3 linked regions of the Lepisosteus oculatus genome follow. The protein of the gene in region 2 interacts with the protein of the main gene of each other region in a biochemical or structural test. Links are inferred from orthologs where the notes say so. Each region holds a gene or a part of one and is shown on either strand. Other genes may lie near its edges.

Evidence for each region.
Region 1: the proteins of anapc2 (region 2) and ube2s form a complex in vitro, tested with the Homo sapiens proteins (3 studies listed by BioGRID and IntAct). The link is inferred for Lepisosteus oculatus from reciprocal best matches to the Homo sapiens genes ANAPC2 and UBE2S.
Region 3: the proteins of anapc2 (region 2) and pttg1 form a complex in vitro, tested with the Homo sapiens proteins (2 studies listed by BioGRID, with this or other methods). The link is inferred for Lepisosteus oculatus from reciprocal best matches to the Homo sapiens genes ANAPC2 and PTTG1.

The regions. Positions count from the first base shown.
Region 1 is NC_090718.1:812,362-819,419, reverse strand, and holds the start of ube2s (ubiquitin-conjugating enzyme E2 S), read right to left. Parts: upstream 3,049-7,058; 5' UTR 2,902-3,048; exon of another isoform or gene 2,797-2,901; 5' UTR 2,661-2,796; coding exon 2,658-2,660; intron 1,238-2,657; coding exon 1,090-1,237; intron 330-1,089; coding exon 139-329; intron 1-138. UniProt on the Homo sapiens protein: Accepts ubiquitin from the E1 complex and catalyzes its covalent attachment to other proteins. Catalyzes 'Lys-11'-linked polyubiquitination.
Region 2 is NC_090719.1:331,144-339,032, reverse strand, and holds the start of anapc2 (anaphase-promoting complex subunit 2), read right to left. Parts: upstream 3,067-7,889; 5' UTR 3,052-3,066; coding exon 2,740-3,051; exon of another isoform or gene 2,263-2,739; intron 1,607-2,262; coding exon 1,535-1,606; intron 1,378-1,534; coding exon 794-1,377; intron 717-793; coding exon 584-716; intron 278-583; coding exon 121-277; intron 1-120. UniProt on the Homo sapiens protein: Together with the RING-H2 protein ANAPC11, constitutes the catalytic component of the anaphase promoting complex/cyclosome (APC/C), a cell cycle-regulated E3 ubiquitin ligase that controls progression through mitosis and the G1 phase of the cell cycle.
Region 3 is NC_090706.1:28,924,900-28,932,617, reverse strand, and holds the start of pttg1 (securin), read left to right. Parts: upstream 1-4,691; 5' UTR 4,692-4,798; intron 4,799-5,192; 5' UTR 5,193-5,194; coding exon 5,195-5,285; intron 5,286-5,962; coding exon 5,963-6,120; intron 6,121-6,945; coding exon 6,946-7,033; intron 7,034-7,242; coding exon 7,243-7,389; intron 7,390-7,718. Other genes in the region: pre-mRNA-splicing factor SLU7, read right to left, coding at 154-234, 1,102-1,255, 1,949-2,085. UniProt on the Homo sapiens protein: Regulatory protein, which plays a central role in chromosome stability, in the p53/TP53 pathway, and DNA repair. Probably acts by blocking the action of key proteins.

The sequences.
Region 1 (7,058 bases), on a different chromosome or scaffold from region 2:
ATTATTATTATTATTATCATCTAGAATAGTATTAAAATATGTCTCGGCGTGCGCGGGCGTGCCTCTCCACTTCCTCAGGACAGCGCGTGAGCACAAGAGCGCCGCTCGGAACCTTCCCCGAGCCCTCCCGGACCTCACCAGCAGCACGTGTCTCAGCCCCAGCTCGGCCCGCCAGTCCCTCTTCAGCACGTTGACGCAGATCTCGCCCTTGTGCCCCACGTTGGGGTGGAAGATCTTGGTCAGGAAGTAGCCCTTGGGCGGCGCCGCAGGGAAGTCCTTCCCCAGGACCAGGCGCATGTGGAACAGGCCGCCCGCGAACGGGGTTCCCTCTGGGGGCAGAGAGGGGTCAGGGGTCAGCACAAGCACCGCCTGCAGGGGGGCGGTCCAGCCCGCCTGCTCACTGGACACGGGTCAGTGCGCCAGGGGCTGGGGACACTGGTCAGTCTGGGTCAGTGGTCAGTGCGCCAGGGGCTGGGGACACTGGTCAGTCTGGGTCAGTGGTCAGTGTGCCAGGGGCTGGGGACACTGGTCAGTCTGGGTCAGTGCGCCTGGAGCTGGGGCTGGGGACACTGGTCAGTCTGGGTCAGTGCGCCTGGAGCTGGGGCTGGGGACACTGGTCAGTCTGGGTCAGTGGTCAGTGCACCAGGGGCTGGGGACACTGGTCAGTCTGGGTCAGTGGTCAGTGCACCAGGGGCTGGGGACACTGGTCAGTCTGGGTCAGTGGTCAGTGTGCCAGGGGCTGGGGACACTGGTCAGTCTGGGTCAGTGCGCCAGGGGCTGGGGACACTGGTCAGTCTGGGTCAGTGGTCAGTGCGCCAGGGGCTGGGGACACTGGTCAGTCTGGGTCAGTGCGCCAGGGGGTGGGGACACTGGTCAGTCTGGGTCAGTGCGCCAGGGGGTGGGGACACTGGTCAGTCTGGGTCAGTGGTCAGTGCGCCAGGGGCTGGGGACACTGGTCAGTCTGGGTCAGTGGTCAGTGCGCCAGGGGCTGGGGACACTGGTCAGTCTGGGTCAGTGTGCCTGGAGCTGGGGCTGGGGTCAGTGGTCAGTGTGCCAGGGGCTGGGGTCAGTGGTCAGTGGTCAGTGTACCTGGCCCCTCGATGGCAGTGTGCAGCTCCGTGATGTCTTCCTCGCTGGGGTAGATCTTGATGCCCTCTGGCGGGTCAGCAGCCAGCGCGCTGACCTCCTTGTAAACCAGCCGCAGGACCTGGGGGGGCAGGTTCTCCACATTGGAGTTCTGGACAAGAGAGAGGGGATCACGTCACACACCGCTGGCCACAGCCACGCCTGACCGGACACCGCTGGCCACGGCCACGCCTGACCGGACACCGCTGGCCACGGCCACGCCTGACCGGACACCGCTGGCCACGGCCACGCCTGACCGGACACCGCTGGCCACGCCTGACCGGACACCGCTGGCCACGGCCACGCCTGACCGGACACCGCTGGCCACGGCCACGCCTGACCGGACACCGCTGGCCACGGCCACGCCTGACCGCACACCGCTGGCCACGGCCACGCCTGACCGCACACCGCTGGCCACGGCCACTGCTGGCCACTCAGGCTGGAGGAGCTGTGTCTCTTCAGTCTTGAACACTACAAGAGGACCTGATACAAGTACCCAGCAGGGGGAGCCTGGCCAGGACCTGCAGGGAGACTCCTGGGACAGAGGCGTCAGTGGGGCCAGCAGGGGGCGCTCACCCAGTACAGTGACGGGGACACTAGACTGGAAACAGGCGCCGTCCTTCGGATGAGACGTCAAACCGATGTCCTGACTCTCTGTGGTCATGAACAATCCCAGGGCGTCTCTCGAGAGGAGTAGGGGTGTTACCCCAGTGTCCTGGCCAAATTTCCCCCTGGTCTTTACCAGTCATGGCCTCCTAATAACCCCCCTCTCTGAACTGGCCTCATCACTCTGCTCTCCTCCCCACTGAGAGCTGGAGTGTGGGAGCGGACTGGAGATCGTGCAGGTGGGGTACACCCTGCTGGTGGTGGAGGGGAGCTCTGAGTGGAGTGTCCAGAACAGGGCTACATCAGTGTAATTATTATTATCATTAAACTCCTCGAGGGCGGGAGCAGAGTCTTCCGAGTGACACGAGTGGAAACTGTGCGGAAAAGCGTTTAAAACCGAGAGCACGAGGTGCTTCTGTACCCCGAGGGTGGTGGGAGGAGGGAACAAGCTAACCAGGATTCGCTGGTTTCCTTCCGGCAACAGCGGGATGAGAAACCGGGATCAATCACCTACTAGCGACCGGGCGGGCCGGGCCGGGCCGGGCCGCTGCGAGGCGGAAGCCCAGCGCGACACATGCCGCGATCTACGGCAGCGGTGTGCGCCTGCTCCAGTCCCGGGCCGCAGCCGAGCGGAACCGGACCAGGAGGGCAGAGACCCCGGGGAGACGCGCGGAACCGGGCCCGGGACCCGCAGGCGGCGCACACTCGCCTGATCACCGTGCCTTCTCGCAGAAGGGTACTTTTTACTCCAGCAACAGCTCGCTGGAGGGAGGCGAGCGGTACCGCCCGGCCGCGGGTCCAGACCCGGCGGCTCCGTGGACTTTCTAGCCAGCGGTTAGGGCTCCGGGGCCGAACCTTGTGCCGAACAGCGTGTTTGTACTGACCGAGGCGATTTAAAGAGGGAGAGAGGCGCAGCGCTCACTCACCATGTCTGGGTCCGGTCCGGTACCGCTGGGGTCGGGGCGCTTCTGGAGAGCGAGAGGAGAGGGGAGGGGGGCAGAGAGAGATCTCGGCCAGGACAGCTCTTTTTAAAGTTCAGCCCCCTCGGCGAGAGAGGGACAGGATCTCCGGCGAGAAAAAAAAAAATGATAATAAAAAAAATTCTAAATATATTTCCAGGTTTGTTTTATAATTTCACCTCCCGCTCGTCAACAAGGACCCGCGGCCCACCTTATTTAAGCGCCTCCTCGACTCCGGGCCCCGATTCCGACGCTCCTGCTGCAAATATATTTATAAAATTATTTATTATATTTTTAATACCCTCCCTGGACGGATGCTGCGCCGAATTCTCTTTCCGACGGGCGGACGCACAGGAACACAAATACAAAAAAAACAGTAAAAATCCCGCCCGCCCAGCCAATCGGAAAACGAGGAGCGCCTGACGTCACTTCCACCCGCAACGCTCTGAGCCAATCGCCCGCCGGAGGCCGCTCCCCGTCATGCCACCCGGCAACCGTCTCGACCAATGCCAGTCGAGCGAGTGGAAAATGCTTTACTCTGATTGGTCCGTTTGAATAATTAGTGCCTACCCCTCTTTCTCCGGGGAGGGGGGCGACACCGCCCACTGGGTAAACGGCGTACTTGATTGACGGCAATGAAAGCAAATCAAGATGGGGAGCGTCGGGAGTGACATTAGTTTGATCCAATAAGAGAAGAATTAGGTACGCCGTACGCCGTGATTGGCTCGGCGTCTGTTTGAGTGCCGGGACGTAGGGGGCGGAAGTTTGCTAAGTGACGACATTCCTGTTAGAGCGCTGCTGGTCTTCAGCCATGGCTGTTATGCTTTACGGTTTTAGGAGCTAAATGTGTTCATTTATGGTTGTTTTTTTGTGTGGAAATGTTCATTTTTGCCACATAGTTTGTCTCTGCTAAAGCCGAGGCACGGAGGAGGGTATTAAAATGGACGTAAGTCCGCACCTGGGCGGCAGACGTCTGCTCATAAACCTACGATGAATATTAAAACGTGGTTGCTGTCAAAATGTCCACCTTCTTAGTTTTTTATAATTGCTGCTTGGAAGCCCGAGGATTCGTGAAAACCTACTTTTTATTATAGAAAATGCACCTCTATTTGATTTAGCTGCGCCTATCGGTGGTGGTGGTGGAGGGGATCCCCATTACCTGTAAAGCGCTTTGAGTGGAGTGTCCAGAAAAGCGCTATATAAGTGTAAGCAATTATTATTATTATTATTATTAATATTATTATTATCGCGGGTCTCCAGAGCTCTGAGCAGGTTTAGTTCAGTTCCGGACAAACGTGACCGGTTTGCTATTTTCTTATATATATGGTTTCTGTCATCTGACCGCCATAAAGCTTGGTAACATTTGAAGACATGGAGTTAACGATAAGTAGTTTAATTGAATGTTAGGTGGTTTATTCAGATTTTGTTCATCTGTAATGTCCCCGGTCAGATCTGGGCGACCGTAGGAAATGACTGGGTGAGACGATAATAAAGATGCAGAATTCACACACACGGGGCTGTGCGTTTTATCTTAGAACCTGATTGAATTTGTGATGTTTGCCAAGCAAATGGTCACTCGAACATACTTTCTTATACTCTGTCTTTGTAGATGAAATCGTTTGGTCGGTTTTGATCCGGAAACACAGCAGGTGTGATTATGTGGCACCACTGCAACATTTAAAATGGTTTCCAAACGAGTATCTTGGCTAAACTTTAACACACCAGTCTGTGATAAGCACTCTACCGTGTATTTCTCTGGTCTATACTGTAGTCAGAATAACACGTTAATTGGGCTCATTTTATCTCAAAAACGAGTGGTCTAACTTCAGGTAAATGAGATCTCTGTACCATAATGACTAGGAATGAAGTTCGTTAAAAGGTGTAACAACATTAGGTGGTAGAATACGGTTCAGAATTGCTTTATGAACAATTATAACAGGCTGCCCAATTTTGGGCGTTAACATCATAAATAGGAATCTGTGTTTTACACAGCCCGAGGGTAGTAGTGATCCCAGTTCAGGGTCCGGTGTCCCCAATCCCCTGCTGAGTATCGGGGATCCCCGCCTTCCCCAGCCCCTGCTGTGAACCCCGGAGCCCAGCAGTGCCCAGAACTGAGCCCCGGAGCCCAGCTGTGTCCAGAACTGAGCCCCAGAGCCCAGCAGTTCCCAGAACTCTCTCAGAGCCCAGCAGTACACAGAACTGAGCCCCAGAGCCCAGCAGTGCCCAGAACTGAGCCCCTGAGCCCAGCAGTGCCCAGAACTCTCTCAGAGCCCAGCAGTGCCCGGAACTGAGCCCCAGAGCCCAGCAGTGTTCAGAACTGAGCCCCTGAGCCCAGCAGTGCCCAGAACTGAGCCCCAGATCCCAGCAGTGCCCAGAACTCTCTCAGAGCCCAGCAGTACACAGAACTGAGCCCCAGAGCCCAGCAGTTCCCAGAACTCTCTCAGAGCCCAGCAGTACACAGAACTGAGCCCCAGAGCCCAGCAGTGCCCAGAACTGAGCCCCAGATCCCAGCAGTTCCCAGAACTCTCTCAGAGCCCAGCAGTACACAGAACTGAGCCCCAGAGCCCAGCAGTGCCAAGAACTGAGCCCCTGAGCCCAGCAGTGCCCAGAACTCTCTCAGAGCCCAGCAGTGCCTGGAACTTAGCCCCAGAGCCCAGCAGTGTTCAGAACTGAGCCCCTGAGCCCAGCAGTGCCCAGAACTGAGCCCCAGATCCCAGCAGTGCCCAGAACTCTCTCAGAGCCCAGCAGTGCCCGGAACTGAGCCCCAGAGCCCAGCAGTGTTCAGAACTGAGCCCCAGAGCCCAGTTGTGCCCAGAACTGAGCCCCTGAGCCCAGCAGTGCCCAGAACTCTCTCAGAGCCCAGCAGTGCCCAGAACTGAGCCCCGGAGCCCAGCAGTGCCCAGAACTGAGCCTCAGAGCCCAACTGTGTCCAGAACTCTCTCAGTGACCAGCAGTGCCCAGAACTGAGCCCCTGAGCCCAGTTGTGTCCAGAACTGAGCCCTGGAGCCCAGCTGTGCCCAGAACTGAGCCTCAGAGCCCAGCTGTACCAAGAACTGAGCCCCAGAGCCCAGCAGTGCCCAGAACTGAGCCCCGGAGCCCAGCTGTGTCCAGAACTGAGCCCCGGATCCCAGCTGTGCCCAGAACTGAGCCCCGGAGCCCAGCAGTGCCCAGAACTGAGCCCCTGAGCCCAGCTGTGTCCAGAACTGAGTCCTAGAGCCCAGTGCTCTCCTCCAGTTTCCCTGCGATGCCGGCTGCGCTCGGGGGAGTGGTATCCTGTTACAGCAGGACTGGGGTGTGTGGAGCAGGGTAGGGGTCCGCTGTCCCCTTGCTGCTTTCTTTGCGCAATGAGTGGCGGGGGTGTGGAACGCACTGCCCAGCGCTGTCGTCGAAGCTCTTTCACTGGTATCCTCTGGGAAGCAGCAGGATGGGAGTCCTGGGAGTGTGGGAAAATGCAGTATCCCCCCCCCGTCTGCGGCCCGGCGGCACCTTTCCCTATAATCTGCCGGCGAGGGCGAAGCCGAGTTCAACTCAGGATTCAGCGCCTCGACACTCGGAGGGGTCGTGTCAGCCCGGCGCCACTAGACGGCGCTGTTTCCCCGCGCACGCCGTGTCCGCAAGCCCAGCTCGGAAGGACTGTATCGGACCGGGTCCCCTTCTGAGACACAGACTGTGTGGGAGAGACAGGAGAGACACAGGCTGTGTGAGAGAGACAGACTGTGTGAGAGAGACAGGAGAGACACAGGCTGTGTGAGAGAGACAGGAGAGACACAGACTGTGTGAGAGAGACAGGAGAGACACAGGCTGTGTGAGAGAGACAGACTGTGTGAGAGAGACAGGAGAGACACAGGCTGTGTGAGAGAGACAGGAGAGACAGGCTGTGTGAGAGAGACAGGAGAGACACAGACTGTGTGAGAGAGACAGACTGTGTGAGAGAGACAGGAGAGACAGGCTGTGTGAGAGAGACAGGAGAGACACAGACTGTGTGAGAGAGACAGACTGTGTGGGAGAGACAGACTGTGTGAGAGAGACAGGAGAGACACAGGCTGTGTGGGAGAGACAGGAGAGACACAGGCTGTGTGAGAGAGACAGGAGAGACAGGCTGTGTGAGAGAGACAGGAGAGACACAGACTGTGTGAGAGAGACAGACTGTGTGAGAGAGACAGGAGAGACACAGGCTGTGTGAGAGAGACAGGAGAGACAGGCTGTGTGAGAGAGACAGGAGAGACACAGACTGTGTGAGAGAGACAGACTGTGTGAGAGAGACAGGAGAGACACAGACTGTGTGAGAGAGACAGACTGTGTGGGAGAGACAGACTGTGTGAGAGAGACAGGAGAGACACAGGCTGTGTGGGAGAGACAGGAGAGACA
Region 2 (7,889 bases):
AGAGGGGGAAGGAGAAGGGACATTAGGTGTATTAGTTAGTACCACAAAACACAGCCCCCCATCTCCACGAGTCTATCTCAGCTCTCTCACACTCCTCCCACCCTGGGCCTCCCGTCTCACCTCGGATGATGCTGAACAGCTCCTCGATCCTCATGCTGACGTACAGCCGGCAGAAGAACTGGTGCATGTGGCAGCGCCATCGCTGCAAGGCGGCACTGCCCGGCCCCCCGGCGCTGGCAAACACCCGGCCCAGCCAGCCCAGCACCCGCTCCAGCCACTGGGGGAGAGGAGACAGGGCTGACCGGCCGAACCAGCACACCTCGCGCTCTGTGATCTGTGTTGCCCAGATTCTTCTAATCCTTAAGCAACAACCTGGCCTCATCTCCCACCACACTGGTAGTGACAGTGGAGAGACTGAATGAAAATAAAGAGCCGTGGTCATGTTTTTGTTTGTATTCACTATGTGACAGAGACAGAGACAGGACTGCTGAGCCTGTCGTGTGTGGGATTCAGTGTGAGCAAGGCAGATGATCAACTCCCCAGGAGCAACACAGCGGGAGGGCCAGAGGGAGGGGGGCAGTACCTGCTGGAAGTCGCTGATGAAGGAGCTCTCGTACTCGCCCCGGCAGCGGCGCTCCATGCGCTGCTCAATCAGCTGGTGCAGGATGGACGTCACCGACTCGGCGCTGACTCTCTCCTGGAGCTGCAGCCTGGAGCTGCGAGGGGCCAGAGAGTCAGCATGGCCGCGCATCTCCGCACACCCCCCCCCCCGCCGCCGCGGCCCCTCACTCACAGGATGTGGCTCAGCTCGCTCAGCTGCTCCAGGGCCTCCTCGCACCAGCACTCCTCCGGGGGGATACTGCAGCCGGGACACCGCCCCCCCTCGTCCCCCAGGGGGCCCTCGGCCTCCTCTGGCTCCCCGTCCTGCCCTTCCTCGCGGCTCATGTGAGCGGCGAAGGTGCGGCTGTAGAACTCCAGCACGCGCTCCTGCAGCACCCCGCCGGGGGAGAAGAGCAGGATGGCCCGGATCAGCGCGAAGGCCCGGTCCCTCAGGCCCTGCGCCCCGGGGCCGCTCAGGCCCCCCCGGCCCTCGTCCTGCCAGGCCCCCAGCAACCCCAGCCCCCTCAGGAAGGGCTCCAGGCGGCTCAGCAGAGTCCGGAAGGCACCCAGAAGCAGCGCGGCCCGCTCCCTCTCACTCAGCCCGTTCTCCGGCTGGTCCAGCCCAGCCCAGAACTCGGGGGCCACGGCCGCCTGCAGCCGCGTCTGCAGGGCCTCCAGGAGCCAGGCCTCCAGGCTGCCGCCGAGCCCCCAGGAGCACAGCACCGCCAGGGCCTGGGACACAGGCTCTTCAGGGGGGGGTTCTGGCCCCGGGGACACCTGGGGGAGGAAGGGGGTGGGGAGGCGGAAGGAAGAGGGAGACTTGTTAAAATTCGAGCAGGAAAATGCCCTTCCTGGCTCAGTTAGGAACAGCAGAAAAGCAGGATAAAGGGTGCCACCCCCTGGCCCTGCCCCCTCCTCGGGCGACTCCACTCACCAGCACGGAGGTCACGCTGTCCCAGGCGGCGGCCAGCGGGGCCACGTCCATAGCTCCCCCAGGCGGGACGGGCTGTCAGAGAGAGGAGCAGCTGCTACAGTTTGCTGGCTCAGTACCTGCTCACACGAGCAGGAAAGCTACTTTAGTTCTGGTCCCTCCCACCCGGTAAAGAAGGGGCTTCTTTTCAGGGGGCTTTCAGATAATGAGGCGCAAACCTTCCCCTGAAGCCTGAGACTTTGAAGCCCCCCATGTTATAACACACCCCGGCATGAGGAAGCCCAGCTGTCACAGTGCGCACAACACCCCAGGACCCTCAGGGTCCTGTGCTCACGGCCTCCAGAGAGCTTACTGTCACGCCTTATCTCGGGATTGTGACAGGTCTGTCACGGCTTAACTGGAACATGGGGATTCCATGATAATGAATTCTCAATTACGCTCCTATAGTACATCAGCCTTTCCTCCGGAAATCAACCTGATACATTATCCAAGATACACGTCATTGAGGGACCTATTTTGATAAGCCACAGCTACTGACATATTATTATGTATTGTTTGTTTCTGTGTTAAAGTATCCGAACGAATCTGACACTGCAGTGTCGTACTGTAGGTAAGGGAATCTGCTCAAGACACTGCCCGACACTCCTTCAACAGCCGCGCACCCTGGTCTTTCCTGCAAAAGCTTCTTTGGACTCTGAACTTTGCCCAAAATTGTTTCGTCGCCGACTTACCTGAAAAGCGCCGATTGTTATAATTTTTGGAGCCGAATCAGTAACAGGTTTCTTGTTCTGAGCCCTTCGAGTGGTTCCGGTGCCGCTCTTTCCTGGTCAGCTCCTGGAACTGCCCACTCAGAAAGGAGCTACAGCCTCAAATTACTGTCTTGAATATGTACACCCCATGCAGACAAAGACGTTATATTTCTAACTATAAAACCAGGGTACAATTTTTTTACCCAACCGCATTCTCCCGCTCGGCTGCGGCGCACTGTAATGACGTCACCACCATTTTGTTAGCTATGCCCCTAATAACAGACGTCTAAGTCTAATAACGAGATCGTAAACCTTCCGTGTGGATATGAAACGGCTCATCACCGACACTGCACGATAAAAGCAAGGCGAAGAAGAAGCATTAAATAAGAGAGCGTTGTAGAGTGTGGCGGAAGCAGAGCGGCCGTTTAGCTGCGCTAGGCAGTTGCCCTGGAAACTGACCGGAAGAGGAGGGCAGCGCCGCACAACAGCTCCGCAGGGAAGACAGAGGGGAAACGGGAACGCAGGGGAGAGGGTAGCTGAACTGACAAGTGGGCACTGCGACCGAGCCTCATCTGCGTGCCAGCAAAGGAGATTCGTCTCGAAGAGGCGGGTGGAGCCGAGGCCCATCCCGGGCAGTGCGTGCAGGAGTCCCGCCGAGCCGGCAGGATGAGCCAGCAGGGAGCGGCGCTGCAGACCTACAACAACGAGCTGGTCAAGTGTGAGTGACCCGAGGCGGGAGAGATCCTCTCGAGCCGTCAGACTGAGACCCATAGCGAAACAAATACGGTGTGATAGCCTGATGTCCAGCATAGCAGGCAATTCGTGCTGCTTAAAATCGAGAAATAAAATACTTTTGCTATCGCCTCCGCAGCTGGAGGCTGTCCTGTGTCAAATAACGGCACGGCTTGTGTGTTTTCTGAACACAATGCGAAATCAGCGGAGGATGCAGAGGCGTGAATGTGTGGGAGATTGCTTCTTGTTATAGCTGAAGATTTTAGCATTTTTGAGTTGAATGCAATTGTTTCTGTTTTTCATCGAGCGTTTCCAAGCTACTGTTGAAACTGCTGTACCGTCGATGTGCATAGGGCCGCGCTCACAGTGAGCAGTGAGTGTCGGGATTAGGCACAGTGAAGACAGCCTTCCAGGAGGTTAGTGGGAATCCGATTAGAGAGGGTCTTTTGCTGGGGTAGTTCGAGTCCTGTGGTCTCCCGGGCTCAGCTCGACTCTCTGGACCGATCCTGTTGTGAAGTGTCTGTGGGCTGTAAGGGATGTCTGGACTCATTACTGTATCTGGCTTCAAAGTAGGTCTTTGTCATTGAACTGTATGTGAGCGGAATTGGTACTGGTGTGGGCAGAGATTTGAAAGGGGGCTGTGTGTTTACATAGGGTGTGTAGCTGGGAGGCACTACAAACAAGCAGGAGAACAAAAATCCTATTAAATTTGTTTTCTGTGCATTCAGTGGCAAACAATAAATCAGAATTCTGCCCTGAAGTCACATCCCAGGTGGGATTACACAAGTGATGTCATTGTATTCCACGGTATGCCTCGAGTGCCCAGCTCCGCTGATTTAGTTAACTCTAATTAAAATGACTGATGATCAGCTGGGGTGAGAATCCCTTCCTCCTCCAGTTTTGTGACCTCAGAGACTGTCCACTCCTCCAGCAGAGATGGTGATTCTTCCTCCATGACACCTCCCCGGCCCCCAGAGCTTTGGGTGGGTAGAACTGCACAAATACAGCAGCAGTCATCAGGCCTGGGCTGGCACGCTGAGGGACAGTGTCAGCAGTGGATGTATTGACACGACAATACACTAGTACTATATAGCTGCATCAGTGTGCAAGCTGCAAACGAAGAAGGCTTTTTCCTTTTTTTCAGTGTTTTCTTAACTTGAAATTGCTCCTGTTAAAACACTGACTGAACCCATTGTAGGTTCTCGTTGGAATGGTGCTTGAGGAGCTGTGTTACTGTGCTGCGCAGGTATCGAGGAGCTGTGTGCGAAGAGGGATGAACTGAACAGACAGATCGAGCAGGAAGAGGAGGAGAAGGTTCGGCTCCAGAATGACATCCGCATCCTGACCGAGAAGTTGAGCCGTGTCAATGAGAGCCTGGCGCGCAAGCTGGCCTCACGCAATGACTTTGACCGCACCATCGCTGAGACTGAGGCCGCGTACATGAAGGTGAGAACTTCTCTGCTGGCCATACTGGTGCTGGATCCCATTACGTCTAAGTACTACATCTACACATCTACACACATTGCATCCCGCACTATCTCAACTGCATACACTGCACACTCTAACACCTACAGCATATCAAATAAAAGAATGATACTGTTCCCTACAAACTTCATCCTAGACATCAGGCAAAGTCTCAGTATGCGTCTCTACACTGTGGTTGCATGGTGCTTGTGAAGTCCCAGTACTACTTAAGTAAACCCTGCATTAAAGGCATCCAGCATGTCCTTGCATAACTGCTGTTTTTGCATGGGGGGTAGTGTTCTCCTGGACATGTACTCCAGCTCCCTCTGGAATGTGTAAAGACTAACACCCCCCAATCTCTCTAATGAAAAAATAACACTAATGAGCCGCTGTGCCTGTACTCCCTGGAGTACCCTGGCTCCGAGCTCTTCAGCATGACAGCCCCCATCTACTCCTTAATTGCTCCACTGTGTCCAGCTTTTTTCCCAGCTTTATTTTTGAGGAAAAAGAAAACTCTCTTTTCAGTATGTGCTGGTTCAGCATGTTTAATCTTAGGAGAACATCTGAAAGATTTTTAAAGAGAGGAGCCAGTTCAGAAGATTCCAGTTGACTCACTTAGTTAATCACAGAGTCTCATCAAACTGTTTCCCCGAAGGGTCCTGTGGGATCAACTCCCATATCAGGGATGAGTAGGCAGGCTCAAAGTTCTCCCAACTCTCCACGTAAAGAAGAGTTGAAACAAAGAAGATTTCATGAAAACTGTCTTGGCTAACAGAACTCCTCTCTCTCCTCCTTACCCCTTCTCTCTGCAATGGCCAGATCCTGGAGAGCTCCCAGACTCTTCTGAGTGTGCTGAAGAGGGAGGCAGGGAACCTGGGCAAAGCTGCTGACCCACGGAAGGCACACAAGGACCACTGATGCCACCACCCAGCCCCCCAGAGGAGAGAGTCGAGCCCTGCAGCACCAGAGCCCGTACTGGGCTCCCGCGAGTCTGGAAATGCCCCTGCTGTGGCCTCCGTGCTGACAGAGAGACTGTAGATCATCTGTAGTTGCAATCAAACTGTTCTGAGTTTCATGCACCAATCTTTTGTATTTCTTTTCTAAAATAAAATATATAGATTTTAATAAATACTTCTACAGAAGCTGCAGCAGCCTTTGTTTTTTAAAAATATGCCGATCATCCACTTCAGTGTCTCAGGGGAGCTGGACACTATCCAGCACAAGGTAGGGTACACCCTGGATGCGACCACCAGTCCATCGCAGGGCTCCCACACCCACAAATATGTCAAATCACACCAGGGCCAGTTTTCCCAGGACAAACAAACTAAAAAATACACCAAGTTGAAATGTATAATTTAACTGCACCATCATACACGTACAGCGTGGTAAACAGACACTTTTGAAAAGCATGCAGGGTGTAGCTAAGGGACAGTTTTTTATACTGCCATCTTAGGAGACAGAAACCCACTGCAATCAAGAGACTCCAGAAAAACAATTTGTTTAATCTAGTTTTTATTTGCATTTGTGTTGTCTGACGAACATTTTTTAAGTTGTTTGGGTAGAAATGATACAATTAATTTTTTTCCAATGCCATAGATCAAAAGAATACAAAGAAATAAGACGTGACAGTTTCTATTTTAACATACAGGTAAGTTTCTCTGGCGCAAGAGTGGACAGTGGGCTAGAGCTCTGGCCCTCAGTGAGCCTCTCTGCAGCAGGTCAGTCCCTGGTCTCCAGGGGCTGCAGGGCGCATGGCTGTGTCCTGTGATTTCCGTCACTCTCCACTGCTCACTTGGGAGGACACCTCTAAGAGTTTCTAGTTGATAAAGGCAGCCACTGCTTATTGCTCATTAAACACAGGGGCTTGCTCTTAATCCGACATGAGCATGAGTTTACAGAACACCTACTGTGCTGGGTTTGCTACAGCAGCTCGTGTAGCAGGAGTGCTTGAGACTAATGTGCTTAATCAGGACCTGTGAACAGTAACTAGAGGAAATTGGGAATGGAGCAGGAAAGTGAGAATTTTTTTTAATTTGAAAGAACTTAAAAACTCTATGAATCGTAGTATCCTGGAGTTAAAAACCTGCATTGACAATAATACTCACCAGCCTCTTCTAAAAGCCCCAGTCCCTCCCTGTCTGCAAGCCCACTGCCGTGGTCTGGGGGCTCAGAGGCTGCAGCTCTCCACCCCCCAGCCAGCTGGATGCATCTCCTCCCACAATAAGTGCAAACAAAGCAATGACAGTGCAAATGAAAAAATAAAAAAAATTCTTATCCGTTCCCTCTTGCTCCTTTAACATCAAGTAACTGGAGGAATTCCACCGTGAGAACAGAAGGCATGCAGACGACACTGAGCAGGCGGTGAACGGGCAGGGGCGGGCAGCTCCTGTCCTGCAGCGCCAGGCTCTGGCCCTTTTTAGAGTTACCTCTCAATTAGCACCTGGTTAGACCTGCAAAACGTCTTTGCATTTGACTTCATAGCCACTTAATTAGTTCAGTTTAGTCATTAAAGTCGATGGAATGGAAAATGGAATGAAAAGCAGAAACAAATGCAGATGCCCAGGACTGGAGGTACCCACCCCTGAGAGAACCATTAATGATGATGATCATAACAGGAAATGAGGAAACACTGCCCTCCCGTGGAAAGGTCTGATCTTGTTGCTGAAATTGAGAACGTATTGTGCTCTTCTATATCCTTTACAAGAGATGCCAGGCATGCAGTCATCATCATTATTGATAGGTTACAGAGCAGCCGAAGCCCAGAGAACCACTCTCACAACTGAATCCTCTCCTTATATCTCAGTCTCTCGCTTGGTTCTCCTACAGTCTCCCACTCTGGAGCTGCCTATCAGAGCCTTTCGCTCTAAAACCGAATTTGCTCCCTGTCCTCTTTCTCCAAAAAACATCCAGCGTAATTTCCAGAACACAGTTTAAGAGGAAACTAAACAGAAATAATTCCTCTTTCCTTCATCCATGCCGTCTCTCGCTGGAGCTGCACTTTCAAAACGGAAGAAACGGGTGGTGGAATCTGCAGCACAGAGACCTGAGGATCTCCCCCTTAGCCCACCTCTAGACCTCCCTCCACAGTGCCAAATCCACTCATCCTCACAAAATAATCATTTCGAAAAGACAGAGACAGTTAGCAGCTGTGTGGCAAAGGAGTGTCTCCATCAAGCCGAAGACGCCCACAGAGCGGACCAGAGGTCGGAGCCGGGGGTCCTTTCTCATTCTTGCAATGGACAGTTCCTGAGTCCAGGCAGCACAGGGTCTACTCCTCTGCTGGACACTGCTGGTGTGGCCTGAGGGGCTGGAAATGGGAATGAACCCCCTGGTGCCGACCACACCATCAACCACCAGGGAAAAACAAGGACAGGAGCGGCAGGACGTCTCACGGCGAGGTGACGGAAAGAACG
Region 3 (7,718 bases), on a different chromosome or scaffold from region 2:
CGGCCATTTTCTTCTGCCTCGCTCTGACTAGCCACCCGGCGACGGAGGCCAGCTCGGGAAGGCTCAGGAAGGAGAAACAGAAGGCGAAAGAAAACGAAACAGCCAACTATCTTTCCCCCCGACCAGGACCATGGAATATTGGTTCCCACTTACCTCCAAGCAATCCTTCTTCTTGTGCGTCATCGCCCCACAGTTCTCGCATGCCCCTTTCCGATACTTCGTGGTAACAGGTTTCTACGCCAAAAGAAAAAACACTCACAAATGCTGTATACCATCCCTCACACAGCAAAAACATTTTTCAGTCTTATGATAATAAATGGCCTGACTGAAGATTACAAGACAAGTAGTGCTTGAGCAGTAAAATGTTCTAATAGACCATTTTGTTTCAGCTTAACAAGCCAAGCGTCCCAATTCTGTACTTTTCTTTGCCTAATGCCTAAGACATCAGTTATAAACACTACATTTATCATTCCCCAGAAATTCTCTCTTTTGCCACTCCCTTAAATGTGATAGTTCTGCCCCCCTTCATTTTTATAAGGCTTGGCACCTCAGTAGCTGTCTGAACTATTATCGCCCTACTCCCCACCTCGCAACCTTCGCTCTTCTAATTCTGCTCTCCTAACTGTCCCCCAAGCCCGTCTACACTCTAGGGGTGGCAGGGCCTTCTCCTGTTATGCCCCAAGGCTCTGGAACTGTCTCCCCAAGGATATCAGAGAGTCACCTTCTCTGAACTCCTTCAAATCCAGGCTCAAAACCCTCTTCTTCAGAAAAGCCTTTACTGAACTGGTTGCATTCTTCACCCCTCTGCTTTTCTTAGTACCACCATCCACGGTCTCCTCTATATATTGTAATTGTGTTTCATCTTGTGTATTCTTCTTATTTATTGTTGTTGTCATCCTGTAAAGCGCTTTGAGAAACCACCTTTAAAGGCGCTACATAAAATAACGTTTATTATTATTATTATTTTTTTAATGTGACTTTTCAGAAAACAGTGAATCACATTCTCGCCTGGGGCAAATACCTACGGGAAAGAAGGCTCGTGTGATTTGAGGGGATGGGCTACCTACAGAGCAGCACCCCAGCGCCGCGCTGAGCACTCACCTCCTGCACGCCCCGCTTGTACCAGTCCCCGATGGCCGTGTACTGCGGCTGCTTCTCCTCCTGTGGCCTCTGGTGCCTGAGGGTCGGCCTCTTGGAGGGGTCGATGTACCAAGGCACGGAGGAGATGTACTGAGGAATGTGCGGGTTGATGTCCCTAGAAAAAGAATGAAAGGTCAGCAATTTCATTTAGACCAACGTTGCAAACCTGTAATGGTGCGACGCGATGCTCAAGAGCCGTGTCTTGATCACATATATGCTAAGTATAAAAATTTCACAAAGATGGCAGAGGATACCAAAGCCATGGGCTGGAGATGTGAAGATCTTTGTTCTAAAAAAAAAACACCTGGAAAGTTACTAGAACTGGTATCAAGAAGGAAAAGGCAACATATCTAAGCAATGGAAGTCACGAACTTCCACTGACTATCCTCTGCACAAAACCCCTCATCGGTATTTTGTAGGTTAGTATCAGCAGGGGCATATGTAATGAATTCATATTTAAAGTTAAACAGGTTTACAGCCAGCCAATCTGGTCCTGGAGGGCTGGTGTGTTGTAGGTTGTCATTCTAATTTAGTGTTTAAGAGCTAAGCCAGGAACCATCTGGTTTAACTAGACTAATTTCACAGCATCTCCCAGCTCTTCTTGAGCTGCGGATATAAAGAGCCCTTAGCTTACACACAAAATCCTACAGCATGCATCTTGCGGCACCCCCTCAAAAAAAACTCTTGTTCTCCTGTCGCTTGGCTTTCCCCAAAGGATGCCCAGCAGCACATCAATGCTTTTGGATTTCGGCTCCAAATTTCCACCCTTTATTTGACAGTTTGTAAGGTTTTGGCCTGCGTGACGTACTTCCCCTCTTCGTCCACCTCGGCTGGGGCATTTCCCAGCTTCCTCTGCTCCTCTAGCTCCTTCTTCTTCCTCCAGTCCTCCCTGGTCATCTTCTTGGGCTCCTCCAGCCCCACCACCCCCTCAGTCCCTGCTGACATGGCTCTTCTGTTTCAGCGCCACCTGCAGGAGGAGGGTGGGAGAGACTGGATTATTCAATTCAATTCAACCTTTCAAGTCCCACTGGGGAAATTAGTTTTACCCCACACTCCAACATAACACAAGGACAGACAAAATTTTACCAACCAAGAAGTGGTGGTTGTTACGGCAAGACAGTTACGATATTAGATATTTCAGTGGGGTTGAAAGATTTCCTGTGTCTATGAGTATTACAACTGGGGACACAATCCATAATACACTTTGCTTTCTTTGCATTACAAAGCATTTCTTTGCACGCTTTGCTTGTAGAGGATATGTGAGGTGAGCTGATTTCCTCCAATTAATTTGCTATTTATTTGGACTAGGCTGGGAAAACTATTACAATCAATGGTACTCATTTCAACACTAGCAAGTGAGATAGTATGCCAAGACACTTTTAATAAAAGACTTGTAGAAATTGTTAGGATGGTCCTATCTATCTAGAAATTTCTTAGTTTTTCTTAGCAAACGTCTTTGTTGTACTTTTTATAAACGGTTTCACAGCATTTGTCCCAACTCAGGTTCTTGTCTATGACCACCCCCAGTACTTGTTAGTCAGTGACGATTCCTGCAGTCTGACCATTAATTACTGTAGGTTGGAGAGATGTTGCATTATTCTGAAAATCAATGACCAGCTCCTTTCGTTTTGACAACATTTAAGTGCAAACTCGTTACACCATTTAGTACAGTCATTTAGAACGGGTCCATAATGGTTTTCTGAGTCCCCTAATAACCCAACCAGGACTTTATCGATGAGATATGTATTTGTGCGTTTGCTTTTACAATCGTTAGTATACAAAATATACAGAAGTTCAAGTAGGTAGCAGTGTCAGCATACGTAGACTGCAAAGGAACGGGTACAGGTTTATTCCTGGTAAAAAGAGACAACGTTTCGGCTGTGGAGCTTTTACCAGCTGTAACAAAACACAGCCATGTAGAAATATAGCAAATGTCAGATAACCAGTTCCCCAATTTGACCTACTGAGTCCCGTGAACGAAGTCGCAGAGCGAGAGAGATGATAATTTCCTTTGCAGTATTCGAAGAGAAAGGGAGGGGACTTGGGAGATGAACAAGAGGCCGAGAAAGACAAATACAGAAACAGACTGTTCATAAACCAGCCTCCTCTCCGTCTTCTGGGCAGAAACTGGAGAAGCTCCGAGGTTTGAAACCAGCTACTTCCCCGGCTAACAGGGGGAAACACGTGTTCTGTAGCGATACTGGAATTTAACAGTTACAGGAAAGTTATCTTCGAATACTGCAAAACAAACGACGTACTTCCAAATGCCATAGATTTACATTAAATTCACAAGCGTTCATCCATAACAAACTGGCCTTCCGTCTACAGCTACACAACCGTTGTGCGTAAACGACCTGGGGAAGCGCATTCAAATGAAACACATGACGTTATGACGCGAAATCCGCGTAAAACATGACGTGTAAGATACATAATAAGTAGAAATATGTCTTACCGAACTCGACTGACAATATATTTTGAGGTCAGTTTATCGTCTCCTAGTGTCGTATTTACAGTCCACCGCACAACGCCGCCATATTCCCAGGATACCCTGCGCGCTGACGTCATTCAAAGGGGGGCGTCTGCGTGGTGGTGCTTTAAAGTTTGTTCAGCAGTAACACAAAAATATACATTTTTAAATTTTTTAATTAAATTCTATAAATACTCCTACACTTATCGTGAAAATCTGTATTTGACTTATTCTATTTTTAATGTCTTAGTGGCAAAATCTGCAAATGAAGCACCTATAGTGCTGGAGGATTTAAACTAAACCGTAGTGATAATGTTAGTAATACCCGCAACTTTATTGGTAACTTTAATACTGTTTCCGGCGGCTTCGCCACCATCGGTGTGCTATCAGAATGCCCACTGGCCTCCTTGCGTTGATTTTAACTTTAAGAGATGAAACCCGAGTGAGATCCGCCGGCTGTTTAAAACCGCTCATCCGACGGTTACCAAACTGTTGCGTCAGTAAGGGCTCCCGGTCCCCCGGTTTCGCTGTCTGGAAAGAGCCGTATACTCCCGTCTTAACTGCTCGTTTGACTCAATTAAAGTTATACCATAGTTCTTGAATGTTTACATCTTTCTAATCTGCTCTTTTCACCACTTCGTTGTTATTACAGGTTCATAATTACTGCCCAGTGATTTAGAATTTTAAAAATAAATGGAGTGATTTTTATACTGTCCGCAACCCAGCTGTTAATGGATCTGAGGACCATTCCGCTATTCAAGCGGGTCCTGATTTACACGGTGATTTAAGAAATTATTTCCTGCGCCAGTCGATAAAAGTGATAAAGCAGTGTGTCGCACCAGGAATTACACCGGTAGGAGAACAGTCGGCTGGGCGATGATGAACTGCACTGGAGCCAATAGCCCGGGCGTCTACCCCTCCGTCAGGTTTCACTAAGATGACAAGCGGAGGCGCTGGCTTGCACCGAGCAAGTTGTGTGAAAGCAATAAAAAAGCGGCGATATGAAAACAGCCTCAGTCGGTCGCGTTACACACCCGGTCCGCAAGGGGGCGGTGCGGACAGTCGTCACTTCCTCGAAACAGCTGCATCCTCGTGCTCCCCGGAGAGCCAATGGGAGCGCGGATTATTGTTTAAAACGAGAGCCCACGGAGAGTGGCGCTTGTGTGGTGAAGCTTTGAATTTAGTACGCTGGTAAGTAACGCAGTGGGGAGGAGGGGGGTTTAAAAATGTTCTCTGTAATGAAATCGAAACGTTTTTGCAGTATTGGAGCAAAAAATAAAGCTGCAATACGTCCTTATGAGGCGGGTAGTAGCAAAGGTATAGTTTTATAGATATAGTCCACAGCCGAAACGTCGAGTTTCCTTTCTTCCCTGTTAAGCGTGGAATAAACATTTAACTTGTTCCTTTGCCGCGTACGCATGGTGACGTACGCAGCTACATTCTTGAACTACATAAGATTAGTTTTTTTTTTATCCATTACCCCACGTGGGACGTTCTTTTGGAATCGCTTGTTTTAAGTGTCCTACCTGTTAATACTCGTCTTGTTGTTGTGCACTACAGATTCGTTTTTTTTTCTTTTCTTCAGAGATGTCCCTGGCGATTTATACCGACAAGGAAAACGGCTCCCTCTCGACGCCCGCTCCCGCGAAGAACCGGGTGAGGCTACAGTCTGCTCCAGGTGAGACCCCCGCTCCGCTGTCGGGCCCTCCCGTGTTATTCATTGCGCATCGATTTCGATTGATAGACTACGAGGGTAACTAATTAGAAGAAGGGTACTTGGTTTCAGAGCGTCGCTACGGCGATATTCTTTTCCGAGCCACATCAGCGGAGGTATCGTTACCTGCTGAATAGTGCTGGGATGAATACAGGACCATTGCCAATGTGTCCTTTGTAAAACGAAATGACTAACAGTGGTGCTGAAATTAATTCTTTGTTAATAAACCCACTCCATGGCTGTATCTTTTGAAGTGCATCTCTTTCATAAAGCCTAGATTGCTGTAATGTCTCATTTACTGCATCCATGTCTTGGCTTATTTGGAGAAGTGGCTGGATGAGATCCCTTTAACCAATTCAATATGAGGTATCCTGGCCAAATGTCCCATTGGCCTTGACCAATCATGGCCCCCTTATAATCCCCATATCTGAGCTGGTTTAATCACTCTGTTCTCCTCCCCACTCAGAGCTGGTGTGTAGGGAGGGTACTGGAGCATCATCCAGGTGGGGCTGCACACTGGTGGTGGTGGTGGAGGGGATCCCTATTACCTGTAAAGCGTCTTGAGTAGTGTCCAGAGAAGTGCTATATTAGTGTAAGGGATTATCATGAAGTCTGTGGCATACTAGCTTCTCTGTTGGCAGATCTGCTCGCTGACAGATGCCTGAAGACGCCTCACACTGGGAAGCTCCTGACCGGCGCCCCCATGCTCTCGGCTCGGAAGACAGTCAATGCGCTTGGCTCAGTTCCCTCCCTGCCCCTTCTTGTCCGGAAGAAGGAGCCACGTGTGGGTTCGACTAAGGTACACTTACCAGGCAGCTTGCAGTGCCAGTAGGATACTTCACTCCTGCTCTAACCTGGAGTCCATCGACAAACCTGACACTGCTCTTGTGCCTGATATCTTAAACAAGTCTTGGACTCTTCAGCCTAGGTTCTGGATCAGATGGCTACTGATCAATTAAAGGAACCATAGTCCTTAAGGACTGAAAGCTCTTTAGAAAAGATCTTAAGAGCTCCAGTCTATGTGACTTGACAAATTACCTCCCTAATTGACCACTTCATAAATTTTAAAGGTTGTGTATAAAATTTGGTGCTGTGACTGGGTCCTGCTCACTATTAACTGCAACGAGACACGTACTGTAATGTTCAAGTTGAGCTGCAAACATTTCACCTCAGAAATGTTCTAATGTGTTTTGCATGCAGGGTTGGCAAAACTATCTTGAAGCCAAGAGCAATATTTCTATTGGATTAAAAGAGATGTATTCACAAGCCTGTTTGTTTACAATGTAAAAGGGTGGCTTCACCTCACCAGGAGTTGTTGCCTCGTTTGAATCGCAGTTACTGTGTACATTTTACTGTTGCAGTTTGAAATACACTTCTCCATGCGGATTCTTTCTAGCCCCAAAATATAAAAAGTGTTGCAGTTCCCCTTTAATGAAGACTCCGGTTGCCGCTCAAACCCAGCACTGCCTTTGATGGCATGGCCCAGCCTGCTAAGGACTCGTATCCTGTGGAAAGCACTGGTCACCTGCATTAGGAATCCTACTGATGCTTCACATGGGTCGAAGCCTCTGGCTGGTGTTTGGGTTTCAGTTGAATTAATCAAGCCGTTTGCCTGGCCCCCCAGCTGAAAGAAGAGGTGAAGGCCTGCCCCCGACAGGTGAAGAAAGAGGAGTACCCCGAGGTGGAGAAGATGATTCCCTATAACCCACTGGGTAGGTCCCCTTCCTGTGTGTTTTGAGAGGGGGGGGGGGGCTATGAAGGGATATGTGCCAGATAGCTTCTTCCTGAACCCCCCTAGTTGAACACCTGTTCCTGAACTCGGTAAGTCTGTTCCATCTGTTTAAGTACCTGTACATGACTGTTGTTGCTTGGGTTCCTGCCTACTCGCTCTCTGGGGCTGATGGTCCTGGTCTCCCATCAGAGTTTGAGAGCTTCGATGTGCCCGAGGAGCAGCGCCTGAGCCACCTGTGCCTGGCAGGGCTGGCAGTGCCGCCCACTGTGGAAGAGGAGGATGACTTTCACTTGTTGGATGTCTGTATGCAGCTGTCGCCTCTGACCTTACCAAAAGGTGTGTGTGTGGGGGGGGGGGGGGGGGGGTAGGGGTGGTGTTTTGTAGAGTGGGGAATCTGCCACCCTCTTGCAGAAACCAGTGCCGTAGGTTTTGAAGTGAGCAAACCCCGTTTGATTTAAAATGGTGAACAGGGCTGGCTGTTGACCAGATTGCATGCTGTCAGCCCATGAGCAGGTGTAATCCACCTGTTTAAGTGTTTTGCCTCCTGCACAATTAAGACTCCAGTTCACAAGACTAGATATGCAACTGGCTTTGCTGCAGGTGCTGATCTAGTGAGTGACCTATGGTCAATGACCTGACCTCTTTAAACTGTAGTCAAGCTGTAA